2 linked regions of the Arabidopsis thaliana genome follow. The protein of the gene in region 2 interacts with the protein of the main gene of each other region in a pairwise test. Each region holds a gene or a part of one and is shown on either strand. Other genes may lie near its edges.

Evidence for each region.
Region 1: the proteins of SFC (region 2) and FKD1 interact in binary tests that used the Arabidopsis thaliana proteins (3 or more experiments, as listed by UniProt).

Annotation. Positions count from the first base shown.
Region 1 is NC_003074.8:23,383,261-23,388,386, forward strand, and holds FKD1 (FORKED 1), read left to right. Parts: upstream 1-1,727; 5' UTR 1,728-1,772; coding exon 1,773-2,126; exon of another isoform or gene 2,127-2,209; coding exon 2,210-2,335; intron 2,336-2,866; exon of another isoform or gene 2,867-3,074; coding exon of another isoform or gene 3,075-3,080; coding exon 3,081-3,525; intron 3,526-3,600; coding exon 3,601-3,834; intron 3,835-3,915; coding exon 3,916-4,023; intron 4,024-4,135; coding exon 4,136-4,365; 3' UTR 4,366-4,582; downstream 4,583-5,126. Other genes in the region: BIL4 (Bax inhibitor-1 family protein), read right to left, coding at 4,678-4,884, 4,962-5,119.
Region 2 is NC_003076.8:4,256,552-4,264,222, forward strand, and holds the start of SFC (ARF GTPase-activating protein), read right to left. Parts: upstream 6,018-7,671; 5' UTR 5,468-6,017; coding exon 5,423-5,467; intron 4,759-5,422; coding exon 4,682-4,758; intron 4,568-4,681; coding exon 4,467-4,567; intron 4,185-4,466; coding exon 4,114-4,184; intron 3,903-4,113; coding exon 3,840-3,902; intron 3,373-3,839; coding exon 3,328-3,372; intron 2,928-3,327; coding exon 2,862-2,927; intron 2,767-2,861; coding exon 2,719-2,766; intron 2,617-2,718; coding exon 2,521-2,616; intron 2,444-2,520; coding exon 2,402-2,443; intron 2,238-2,401; coding exon 2,022-2,237; intron 1,949-2,021; coding exon 1,817-1,948; intron 1,687-1,816; coding exon 1,456-1,686; intron 1,353-1,455; coding exon 1,266-1,352; intron 1,179-1,265; coding exon 843-1,178; intron 616-842; coding exon 470-615; intron 383-469; coding exon 298-382; intron 78-297; coding exon 1-77. Other genes in the region: AT5G13310 (uncharacterized protein), read left to right, coding at 7,010-7,366. UniProt on the Arabidopsis thaliana protein: GTPase-activating protein (GAP) for ADP ribosylation factor (ARF). Involved in the spatial control of provascular differentiation. Required for the formation of the normal pattern of continuous secondary veins.

The DNA.
Region 1 (5,126 bases), on a different chromosome or scaffold from region 2:
ACAGTCAAAAGCTCTCCCTTTCAAACATGCTTTTTGGTTGTGGTTGCTCTTCTTTAGTCTCTCTCTGTGACTCAGTTTATGTTCCTGTTGTGTCTCCCCTGTTGCTGTTCCAAACTTACATCTCTTTGTTTGCTTTCAAGCGTCGCATTAAGACAAAAGTGGTGTTATTAAAGTAAAAGCTGCCTCTCTCCCTACACACAGATTGATTCCTTTAGGGAATCAATCATCTTTTCTTTGACACTTTTGATTTATAGTTTTTTTTCATGAATGGTTTTTTGTACGTGTAGATCAAACCGACAACAGGGTTTAGCTCGCAAGTCTTTTCTTTTGTGAATTCAAAACAAAGTTTCAAACTTTGTCCCTTCGAAGATGCTTGCTTTGACCTAAAGAGGTGCTTTTTGCATCGAAAGTGACCTCGGTTTCAAAACCCTAATCTAAGAATAGAAACGGATATGGTGTAGGTATGTAGGTGTCTATTGTAAGCAAATCAAAAGCAAAAGAAGATGGTACCTAAAAACTAAAAGTAGTTTAAAGAAACAATAAAATGGAAAAGAGGGTTCATCATTCAAAGTGGCAGATACATTCAATTTTTAATTGGTAGTATAAAATACAAAACGTCCAAACAAGAACAATGATTGCAAGGCAAAGGAATAATCAGAGAGACAAAATGACTAGTATTTTTCTAAGGGATTGGTTATAAAGAATGGAAAATGTGGGTATCCCTAAAAATTAGACAGAGCAAAAGGGAATAAAGGATGTATCTTTATTCAGTGGTCACCCACCTATAGTTTCCAAAGTGCAAATAAATTTAATATAGATACACATGATGAGATTTTGAAATATCTTATATATGCGTTTTTATATATATCAAAATGCTCTAGTACCAAAGAATATAGATCAACAATCATGTTAATTTGTACAAAGATGAAAGAAGATCAGAAGTTTTGATTGTGTAGCCTGAAGAAAACCTTGGATGGATGAATAAACTAATTGCCAAGTTTTGTGTCATTGAAGTGGAAAAGAGACAGAGAGAAGAAGGTGACGTAAGGGAAAGCACGCCAAGGCAGCAGCATGTGTGAATGTACGCAAAGGTCGCAGCTTTGTGTTTCAAAACCGAAGCAGAAGGGACCAAATTAAGAGACTGACTGATCATCATACACAGTCGTTTCATTCCTTTATTCTCATCTTTCTCTTCCTCCCATTTTCTCACACCAAATTTCAGCACCTAATCCGTTAGTTTAACCATGATCCACAACAATAAACCAAGTTGTTTGATTGGTTTAAACAAGACACTCTAAACGCAAATTCAACCTTCTTTTCCTTTCTTTTTTGGTCAATTGAAACATAAATGTCTGATAACCTATGACTGACTAGTCAAGCTATCCTAATGTTTCTGATTAAATTAAGAAAAGGCAAATACAAGGATGACTTGATTCCCTCCTTTTTCTCAAGACTCGTTGATACATACATCTAAAGTAATATTTATGTGTAATAAAAAATGGGATTGGCAAAGATGCGGCCTTATTATTGAAAAGCGACGTCTTTGTTTTGTATAGTAGTAATCCATTATTTATGCAACGACTATATATTATGTCAAGAGTAGTACTACTCACTCCTACTCTCATCGAAATATAATCACATATTTCTTTAAAAGAAAAAGAAAAGGTGAAATACCTAAACGTTACTTTGTCTATCTATATATATACACACACATAAGTTTCCTAGTCAAGCTCTGAAGTCGAAGCAAAGTTAATTACAGAGAGAGAGAAAGGATGGAGAGAGAACTCAGACGACCGAACCCAATCAACAGCTCTCGCCGGCCGGAGATATTTTCTTCAGGCGGTAGTAGTACTCAACTACCGGAAAGCCCACGAGGCCCAATGGAGTTCTTGTCTAGATCCTGGAGTGTCTCTGCCTTGGAAGTCTCCAGAGCTCTCCACACCGCCAAATCAGCTTCAGCCACCAACAGGCCTCCCTCATCCATTAACACTCCGATACCGGAAGAAACGCTAAACCCTGAGAAAGAAGAATGTCCGCCGGAGAACAGTACTAGTGTTAGTAGCCAGTTCTCGTTCGCTGCCTCGGCCACTTCACAGCTTGTTCTTGAGCGCATAATGTCTCAATCGGTACGGTTACATAGTTATGGACCGACCGACACACTCTGTTTTTGTATCTTGATGATGAGTTTATTCTGTTTTGAAAAATGAAGGAGGTGTCACCGTTAACGTCGGGGAGGCTATCACACAGCAGCGGCCCACTCAACGGCGGCGGTTCTTTTACGGAGACAGACAGTCCTCCTATCTCCCCTTCCGATGAATTCGACGACGTCATCAAGGTACTTCTTCCCTTATACTATCTCTCTAATCCTTCCTTCCTAGGTTTATCCTTGGTTTATCCTTTTTCTTAGAACGTAAGTCTCCGCCATACTTTAGAGTTTGTTAGCAAAGTAAACAAAAATTATGAGTCAAAAGAAAAGCAGAGGCAGCAGACAGAAACAGATTTGACTTTGACTCTCCACTTTACAACCTGTGTTTGTTTACTTTAACCTCTCTCATTCATTTCACCCACAAAAAAACTACATTGTTTTTTTTTGTTTCTTGTTCATTCATATGACCAATCTTTAGTTGGTAGAAGGTCTCCTTAAATTGGGTCGTTGCCATACATAATTTTAAGGAAGTGCTGCAAGGTTTAGCCTTCTGGGTCTTGGGACTTATAAAGCTGGTCGGCGATCATTAAAGCGATAGATTGATAGTAATGCAGTTTCAATGTTTTCTTTTTTTTCTTCCATTGAATGCTCTGTCTCTACTGCATTTACTTGATGAATTGGAGTTCATAAAAGATTAAAGACATAATTGGTTGGACACAGGAATAGGAATGTTACGGTAACGCCTAGAGCTCCTCTTTGGTTGGCTCATTTTAAGAAAGTTATCGGTAAATGCTTTTAGAGCGAGCAGTCACTTTACCTCCATTTCCAAGCAGTTCATTAATCCTTTATTTGCTTTTTGTAGTCCAATATAATGCCATCAACTTGTTGGATTTTTCATTAAGTCAGCCTATCTAATAAACCAATCCTAATGCAGTATTTTCGCACCCACAACACCATACATCCTCTCTTCTCCGGCACAGGAGGCAGCCGTGGTACCACCGGAAATGGGAGCAATACCCCCATGGCTGGAACCGGTCCAAAGACAGTTGGTAGGTGGCTCAAGGACCGTAAGGAAAAGAAGAAAGAAGAGACTAGGACTCAGAATGCACAGGTTCACGCAGCTGTTTCTGTTGCAGCGGTTGCATCTGCTGTGGCAGCTGTAGCAGCAGCCACAGCAGCTTCTTCCCCTGGTAAGAACGAGCAGATGGCCAGAATCGATATGGCCATGGCTTCAGCGGCTGCTCTGGTGGCTGCTCAGTGTGTGGAGGCTGCAGAAATCATGGGAGCAGATAGGGATCATTTGACATCCGTGGTGAGCTCTGCCGTGAATGTTAAGTCCCATGACGATATTGTCACCCTTACTGCAGCTGCTGCAACAGGTACTGCATTAAAACGTAGTCACCCTTACTTCTGTAGAGATTCCATACCTGAATTCACCCCCTTTTCTTTTGCAGCTCTGCGAGGAGCAGCTACACTCAAGGCAAGAGCGCTTAAGGAAGTATGGAACATAGCTGCAGTATTGCCAGCCGAGAAAGGGGCAAGTTCAGCGTTGTGTGGACAGGTTGACACAAAGCATAGTGATAGCAGCTTTAGTGGAGAATTACCTGTGGCTGGGGAAGACTTCCTTGGCGTCTGTAACCAGGAATTACTAGCTAAAGGCACTGAGCTCCTCAAACGAACTCGTGGAGGTACTCCAAAGCTACACCCGTATAAATGATTTGTAAGCCAAGTAAAAAGCAAGGGTCGCTGACCTTGAATTTTGAAAGCAGGTGAACTCCACTGGAAGATTGTCTCTGTCTACATCAACAAAGCAGGCCAAGCTGTGCTGAAAATGAAAAGTAAACACGTTGGAGGGACCTTCACAAAGAAGAAGAAACGTAGGTTCTTCTCAGCACAAACATTTCATCTCTTACACTAGCCTGGCTTTTAAAGTAAAGCTAGATAGATAATACAAGTCATAATAGTCTTTGATTTGGACTTGTGTTGCAGATATGGTGCTTGAAGTGAGAAAGGATATACCTGCATGGGCTGGCAGAGATCTTTTCAACGGAGACAAGCATCACTACTTTGGCTTAAAGACAGAAACAAAGAGGGTCATTGAATTTGAGTGCAGAAACCAAAGGGAATACGAGATATGGACTCAGGGCGTATCCAGGCTACTTGCCATTGCTGCTGAGAAGAAGCAGAAAAGTTCCATGTCCAAATGGATGGCACCTTAACAACATAAGCTAGGAAAGAAGTAGATGCTTTGTAGAACGAACTGCTTATGATAAGAATAGGTTTAAACATAATGGAGTAGAAGACATTCCCTTTTGTAATATCCTTTTATTCAATTGAGTGAACAGAGATGACTTCTAAAGCTAACAACAACCTTCACAAGTACAAATGTATTGGATTCTCCTATCATGTTACAAGCAGTGATCAACATTTCTTTACAACCCAAATTTCCTTTTGCAGACAAAAGAATTTGAACATATGAACTAGATAACAATGGCACAGTCTTAAGAGCAATCTGAAAGAGACAAGACTGCCTAACTATCAACAGCCCTTAAGAGAGTGAGGAGAGATAGGAAGAGATTAATGACATCCAAATAAAGAGAAACAGCAGCCCAGATGTACTCGTCATAGGAGTGCCTCTTGATCAAGTTGTCGGTATCATATACAATGTAGCCACAGAAGATGATGGATGCCAAACAACCATAGATCATCACAGAGATCTTTCCTAAAGGGAAGAGAATCTGCAGCAATAAAGATAGTATTTAAGCTCTTATTGTGGAAGAAGAGAACATTGAAGCCTTGTGAGCGATATTGATACCTGGATGAAGGAAAACACCATGAGGACAATGACAGCACCGAACAAGAAAGGTCCGAGGAAGTTGAAGTCATGGCCTCTTTTGGCCGCCCAGAAAGTGTATAGAGTGAGGGATATGACCACAACAGCGGTCAAAATCACAGATTCCAGAATCACCTTCCCTGTAAT
Region 2 (7,671 bases):
GCGTCCCACATTTGTTGTGCAGCTGATTGTGGGAAATCGCTGTCTCTTGATCTCCGAACAAATAACTTCTCCGCATACTGTGGAATGACAAAAAAAAAAAAAGTTTGAATGAGCTTTCCTGAACATTGCCTATGACCGAGCAACGAGAGAATGCCTCGAAAGTAAATATTTTCTACATGCTCAATGAATATTTGAAGGAACAACATACTGGGAAGAAATAAGCACGCCCTCGAGAAGAAAAATAGCTTCATTTATCTCCAACATAAGGAATCAAATAAAGGGTAGAAGCTTAAAAACCTTAGCTTGTATATACTTCTCCTTGATAGATATCATATCAGCATAGCTGGGTTTTCCAGTGACCATCACCCTGGATTTATCAGACCTGCACATATTTGGCAGAGTAATTTTAACATTATGATTTCTAGGTGATCAAAGTTATCATCACTTTCAAACATAAATGGAGTTTTACACTGTTAAGCCGGGGTCAAAATGGATGGCGCTCCTTGAATGAAGCAATTCCTCCCAAACTGTGTTTGCGAAAGTATTTCCAAGAGCTTGGAACAAACTTATAACAGATGGCTCCCATACTTTCACGTCGAGAGTGAGTGACCTAACCTGTAGCAACAGCCAACTTCAGATTGCTGTATAACTTATGTCAAATTGAAGGCCGAGCCATCCAAAGTTCAAATTCTATCACATGCTCTATAATCTGAATTGCTATTGAATATAAGCCTAGTGTCACTTCAAAATTCTCATGGACTTCTTTACGTCCTTCCATAAGTTGGTTGTTATAGAGCCTACATATATTTTCTAAGCAATTAAGAGTTCTGGAGATTTTTTACCTTAGATATATGCACACCAAGATTACGGTGAACACCAGAACATTCGATACAGACAAGAACCCCCAGATTTAAAGAAGCCCAGTCTGGTTCTGGAGCTCCACAATCCGCACATTTGTCATTCCCACAGACCTTTCGAAGAGCATCAATGGGCTTCTCACCCTTTCTAATGGACCGTTGCGGCTGAAAACTTCTTGATGGCCTTTCATTGTACCCCAAAAAGCTCCTCTCACATACAAATTCTTCAGTAGTAGGATGATCATATTCAGAACTTTCATATGAGCTACTTTCACTAGCAGATCGATGGTGGCCACTTCCCATGGGACTACCAGGAAGACGCTGAAATGTAGCCGATGGACAATCACCAAAGTTGCATTGGTATTTAATATGAGCCTGGTCAGGTAAAGGAATAATGATAATACTTACCTGTTCAGGGACCTGAGAACTAAGTAGTGATGCAATAACCCCAGTGATCTTTTCTATCCAATCCATTTGATCGAGTGCACTCTCAGCCTGCACTGACAAACATAAGTAAACACTGAGTGAAAACTATTAAACTTGGGCAAACATGTATACAATAAAGTTTTAAGGCAGTAACAAACACTCTGAATCAAACCTGCAACGTGTAGTTTTTTGTAGGTGATATGATCCTAAAGCAAAACCTCAGATCTGATTGATCAGCGTCGACTTTAATTGTTGAGGTGAGTAAGTTCACTGTATGACGAGCTACAGACTTCTCATCATGGACACCACCATGTCCATGATTATTCGAAGAAAGCCACCTACTAAGCAGTCCAGACCCAAGCTCGGAGCTATTTCTCTGTCCAGAAAGCTGGCTTCCAGACCCCTAAACATCAAATAATCTAAGTCAGAGTGTGAAAAGAATGGGTCAAATAGATTTTTACTTTATGAACACCATACCGTTTGCATAATTCTGCTGTTTTCAAATAAAAGATAAATATAAAACCAAAACTCACAGATGGTTTGCTACACTGTTTTCGGTAATAATAGAGCATTCCCCGGCTGTCAAGAACAAAAAACCTTCTTTTCCAGTCTCCTCTCAGGTTTGAAGATCGTTTAGAGAGATAACCTTGCCTTATTGTTTGCACCTGAAAGCACCAAGAAATGTTAATAGTACTCTCTGGAAGATGTATCAATCATATGTTAAAGACGTTGATCAACCTTTCCTCTTGCAGCAGATTGCATTACGGCGTCTATCATTTTGTGAGAGCTTCTACCGATTGCTTGTATGCCATCTCCATTTGGTGATCCATTAGAACCATTTGAACCCCACCTGCTCTCTCGATCAACCTGTCTTTTGTACTCCTGCATCTTTTCATTAAGTGCTGCTTGTTCATAATTTGATCTTTCTCTGGATTGTTGCGCATATGTCAAGACCTACAAAAAAAGAGTTGATGTATAAGTAGTTTTCTAAATGCTACTATCTCCGCGTTTTCAACACATGTGAAGATTCATACATAGTCGTAGAAGAGAATTATACATAAACCCCAAATATTTAGGGATCTATCACTTGAAGAAAAGGAAAATAACATTAAACCGACCTGATTGATATATGGTTCCATCTGATGCAGTAATTCGTAACCCTGAAAGCAACCACGTTTAGATTTGACACAAACCTTTCCAGACTATTTTATAATTCTAAGCAGCATAACAAACTTACCTGTTTGAAGTACCGAAGATGTGCATCCATTGTTCCACTGACTGCTTCCAAAAATTCAAACCTTTTCTTAGCTTCAACATTTGATAGAGCAGTCACCTGAGCATAAATTAGGGAAACCAAATGATTACTTCAACAATACTACGTATGGACAGCAAGTATGTAGATTTGAACACTCAAGATCAAACGATAGAAAATTACAAGGTTGAACCGAGCTTGCTCAAACATAGACCTCGAAGTATGAAGTTCCTGTCAGTGTCAAAATATGTTAGTTACAACATAGAAATAAAAATACATGGTTATCAAAAATCAGAAACGAGCTTTACTAAAATCATGCACCATACCTGTTCTAAAGCAGCAGCAACGTCACTTTTTGTACCTTTCCTCAAAGATAAAAACTTCTCACGGGCCTAAAGCACAATAAGAAGTTAATTAGTTAATCGTCCAGATAAGTGGGAGCCGTGGACCCAATATGCCTCTCTATTTCTATCAGTTATTTTCCAAGCTACAAATGTAGCATGAACAAAAAAACTAGCTAGGTTTCTGCAAATTTATACACTGCCTGCACGGAAACTGCAACACATATCATAACTTTGAAAAAGAGGAACCCTAGCGTTCCTCCATTAACGAGGAATGATTCTAAAATATTTGAGCTCGACCCATTTTGTCTGGTTGAAACTTTTCATACAGATTTACATCTAGTAAAGAAAAGAGTCAGGATGAGAACTTTTAATCTTTCCAAAATATCTTTTGTAGTGCAAACCAAGTCAGCGGAGTGGGGAAAACAAAAATCCTTGACAAAAGGGATACCTGATCGTAGGTAAGGCTAGCCTTGTCAAAGCGCTTCCGAGCTTCCTGTGGCAAAAATGATCTCTCAGGGTTCCATATCCAAATATAACCATGTCATGCTAGCCTACTATAAAAATGGAAAAAGATATATCTGGACAAGCTGACTAGCCACAATGTAAAGGCAGGCTCAAGAAACTTAACCATATTTTCCGCAATCATCAGACCTTATCTACATTAATGACCTCAGAAAATATTCACAATTATATTTTGTTTGGGGAAGGTTGACCACATGAGTGATAATTAGTTCTTTTTTTTAGATTTCTAGTGCTGCAAGTCAAACCAGAAGAACAAGACCTAATGTCCATATTAAATTAAATGCCTCTTGGCAGGTCTTCATATTTTCTCTATTCACACATGCAGAATATTTGTCCTCCATTGTTTAATAGATATTCTAGTCAATACTAATACCTCAATGATGCAAAGTTAACTCAAAACATGTATATCAAGCCAATAATAAAGGAAGCAGCTTGTACCTTAACTTCATGCAAGTCCATATTGGCAAACTGAAGTAATCTGTCATTCAGTATATGTTCCACCTGACAATGGAACTCATCAAAATCAAAACCTGGATTGAAATGACTTGATCTGCTCTAAATCTATATGATGTCTTAAGGTAAAGCAAACTATAAAGAGGCCATTTTTGCTGAAGGAAAACAAAGCTATCCTACGTTGATACCACAGGAGTTATCAGAGAGAAGGCTGGGAATAGGGAGAAACAGAGAGTGTCAAAATAGCAAACTAGCATACCTGTGACCGAAGAACTTCCTTATAAGTCCCAATTTCCCTCAACGCAATTGTAAATTTCGTCATTACCGGTCCTGGCACAGCAAGTTAGAGTTTGTCAGCACTTTTAACAGCAAATTGTTAACATTTCCACCAAAACCAGTGAATCTAACAACCCTAGCAAAGAGAAAGCGAAGAGAAAGAGCGGGAACAACAACTTCCCTCATAATTTAAGGCCACTATCAGTATTTAGTGCTTAAAAACGAAATTATGAATTCTAAAATGGAAAGTGCCAAAGAATCTCAGATGAAAACTGCAAAGATTATGGGAATAAACAGACAATATGCTACTGCGAGTTTCCATATAATCGGTCATACCTCCAAAAGCCACACTTATTGGATCATTATGGCCTCCACCAAATGTTTCAAGTGCACTTGCGAAAGCAATGTCCCCATCGTATGCCTCGCCTAGTCCTTCACTGTAAAAAGAAAGAATAATCTATCGCTGTTAAAAGATACATGTTTCAGCCAGAAGAAAACTCTAAATGTAGAGCTACAATCCTAATTAGCTGTGAAAATTTGAACTAGCATACGTGTATTTCCGGCATCCTTTGTAAAACTTGAGACTTCTTTCCCGCAATATTTCTGCGCTCTCCTCCATGCTTTGTAACTATTTAAGAAAAAGATATCAATGTAAGAACGCAGCTGCGGAAGGAAAAATACATAAACGCAAAGAAAACAGTAAAGACACAATCCAATTATGGAAGAAACTGCAACTATGGATAACCCCAAAGATTGAGTGATTCAGGCACTCTATATAGGGGCAAAAGAATCATCAACTTCAGGCAAACAGAGCAGTTGTTGGACAGAATTTGAGCTACACTAGGAACTTCCTTAGCATTTAAGTTGAGTTAGATAGCAGAAGTCCTACTAAACCAGTGAGCATGAAAGTAGTAGCTAAGTGGACACAAATGTATCCTAAACACACGAATCAGAGACCCAAACAAGTGCACTGGATCATAAGTCATTTCACATTTCATGGAGCAACAAGTTAAAGCGCGAATAGGCCGTCCAGATAAACCAATTTCTTAGTGACACATTAATTCGAACCTTCCAGTGAAGTTCCACTCACATTTTGGAATATAAATGTCGGTGGACATTCAAAATTCCAGACACAACACATCCTAATGGCTCCAAAATTAGTATCTGTTGACAACTTTTGAAGAACAAATCTCGCCTAATATGACCCAATTTTAACCTACGACACTAAAAGACTGGACACATCAAGACAAGCACACATAGACAGGAACCAAAGATATGTAGTAGAAACAAACCTGTTTGCGGAACATGGGAGAGTCATCAAGCTTAGTGAAATGCATTTTGAGCTAATTTATTACTTCCTCTTCTTCGACACAAACAGCAATTAACATAACACGAACACACACACCAAAAACCTAAAAGCTAGAACCACCACTATGTCTCACACAGACGCCATAAACGAACAAAAACGTGAGATCCTCTCCTCCCAAAGCTTCCCCGAAATATCCAACAGAAACAGAAACCGATGATCTTCAAAGTCTCGAGCCAAGCGTAATTTTGAGCTGGTGTTTTTTTCTCGCGAAATCGAGAGAGAACAAAACAAGAAAACAGTGGGGGTGTGTTTTTTAGATGAAGTGTCTCGGGAGAAGAGAAGAGACAGACAAATCAAAGAAAGGAAGAAAAAAAACTTCACCGTCTTTGTGAAAATTTTAACCACAAAAGACGGCGAAACTATGCCGTTTTAGTTACCGCCGGAGATCGTGAAGGTTGGTAAGATACGACGTCGTTTCAAGTGTAAATTTTTTAAAGAGAGGACTGACTGTGCTTTTTCTGTAACAGTGGTCATCTGAGAAAACAAGGACTCTGGCTAAAATCCACTATATCCACGCGCCTTTAAAGCCCGTGTAGTATTAAAGAGGCTGGAAATTAGGAGGCGCGTGTAGTAAACGCGATTCTCTCGAGAGTATTAATAGAGAGGGGAGAGTGGGACCCGTTATCTGGTTGCTTCTCCATTATCTTTTGTTCCGGAGAGACAGAGAGGCCAGTGGGGTATAAATGATTCCTTTTAAGACATGTTTATTTTATTTTATATGAAAATATCTTTAAATATAAAAAATTGAACACTTATGATTACTTTCTTTTGGAAAAAAATTGTTAAAGCAAAAAGAAAAGTGGGAGAAATTTGGAAAAAATGGACACGATGATCTTACTTTCTTTTGCAGACTTTACAGTCGCATATGATTATTAAAATACATTTTCTTGGTTTCAAAATCCTTATTGTTTAATGAAATGTATGATCTCTTGAGTCTTGTCCAGCTAGTTCAATATTGTTTAATCATAACGATAATCGTCTTAAATCTAGGTTAAGATCTTTGTTCAACTGGTAAAACTAAGACATCTGCAATTAAAAACATAATAATGAACATTATGTATTACTATTAACCAACATTTAATATGGTCTTCTAATCAGATTTTCTCACATCAATTTTCTTTCATCTTTCTCACAACATTTATCGTATGTTTTCTCTCTCAAATGATTTCCGACATATGGCTATCAATCTAATGTAACTTAGATCTCTCTTTTCCTTTTTAGACTGTCGCATCTTTCATTTCCTTATTGACCTCAAACGGCCTACGGATACTAAAATCCACTTTAGCACACAACCAAAAAAAAATTAAAAACTGTATAGAGGTAACAGTGACTAGTAGGCCGATATTGGGCCAAGAAGTAGGAAATTCCATTAAGCCAGGCCCATTATAAAATGCCCATTTAAAATTTGTTTTGTTATAGGATCACACGAAAGGCGGTCTATTATTTTGTTCGTTCTTCGTTTATTCACAGCAATCGATTTGTGTGTGTTTCAATTTCTAATAGCTTCACAATGGCATCGTCTGGATCAGCCGACGAAGATTTCCAGTCTCGCGTTGCGAAGATCTTCGGATCTCTACCCTTCTCTCGTCCTTCGTCTTCCAAGTTTTCCACGTCGTCTTCTGCTCCGGCGTCGCGGCAGCAATCGGGGTCGGTGTGGACTCTCTCCGACACAGAGGTAGAGAAGCGGGAGTGGAAGCGAGATTCGTACGATAGAGACGAGATTCCTTGTGCTTCATCCTTTGACGAGCTCTTAAAACAGCAGAAGCCTTCCGAGGATGATCTCAAAGATATTGATTGCGGCGAGGATTTTGATGGTGTGTGGAGTATCAGAGCCTCCATGGGCCTTGATCGCACTCTCGATGACGAGGTAAATCAATTTTGGTCTCTTAACGATTGTTTCTCATTGCTTAGCTAATTGAAATTAGGGAACAGTGTTGGTCTTTTCTCTTGGATTTGGTAGATTCATATGAGAAGAGCATTGAATTTTTAATGTAGTATCATATTGGTTTGTGTGACTTATAGAGTTTTTGTACGTGAATCATCAACCTATGTAACCAGCTTTAAGATTCTTGAATTTGAGTTTTTCTTGCTATAACTATATGTAGCACATACCGTATTATGAATAGGATGTCACTTTCTTTGATGCTGAGTGTTGTTTCCATGAATTATGCT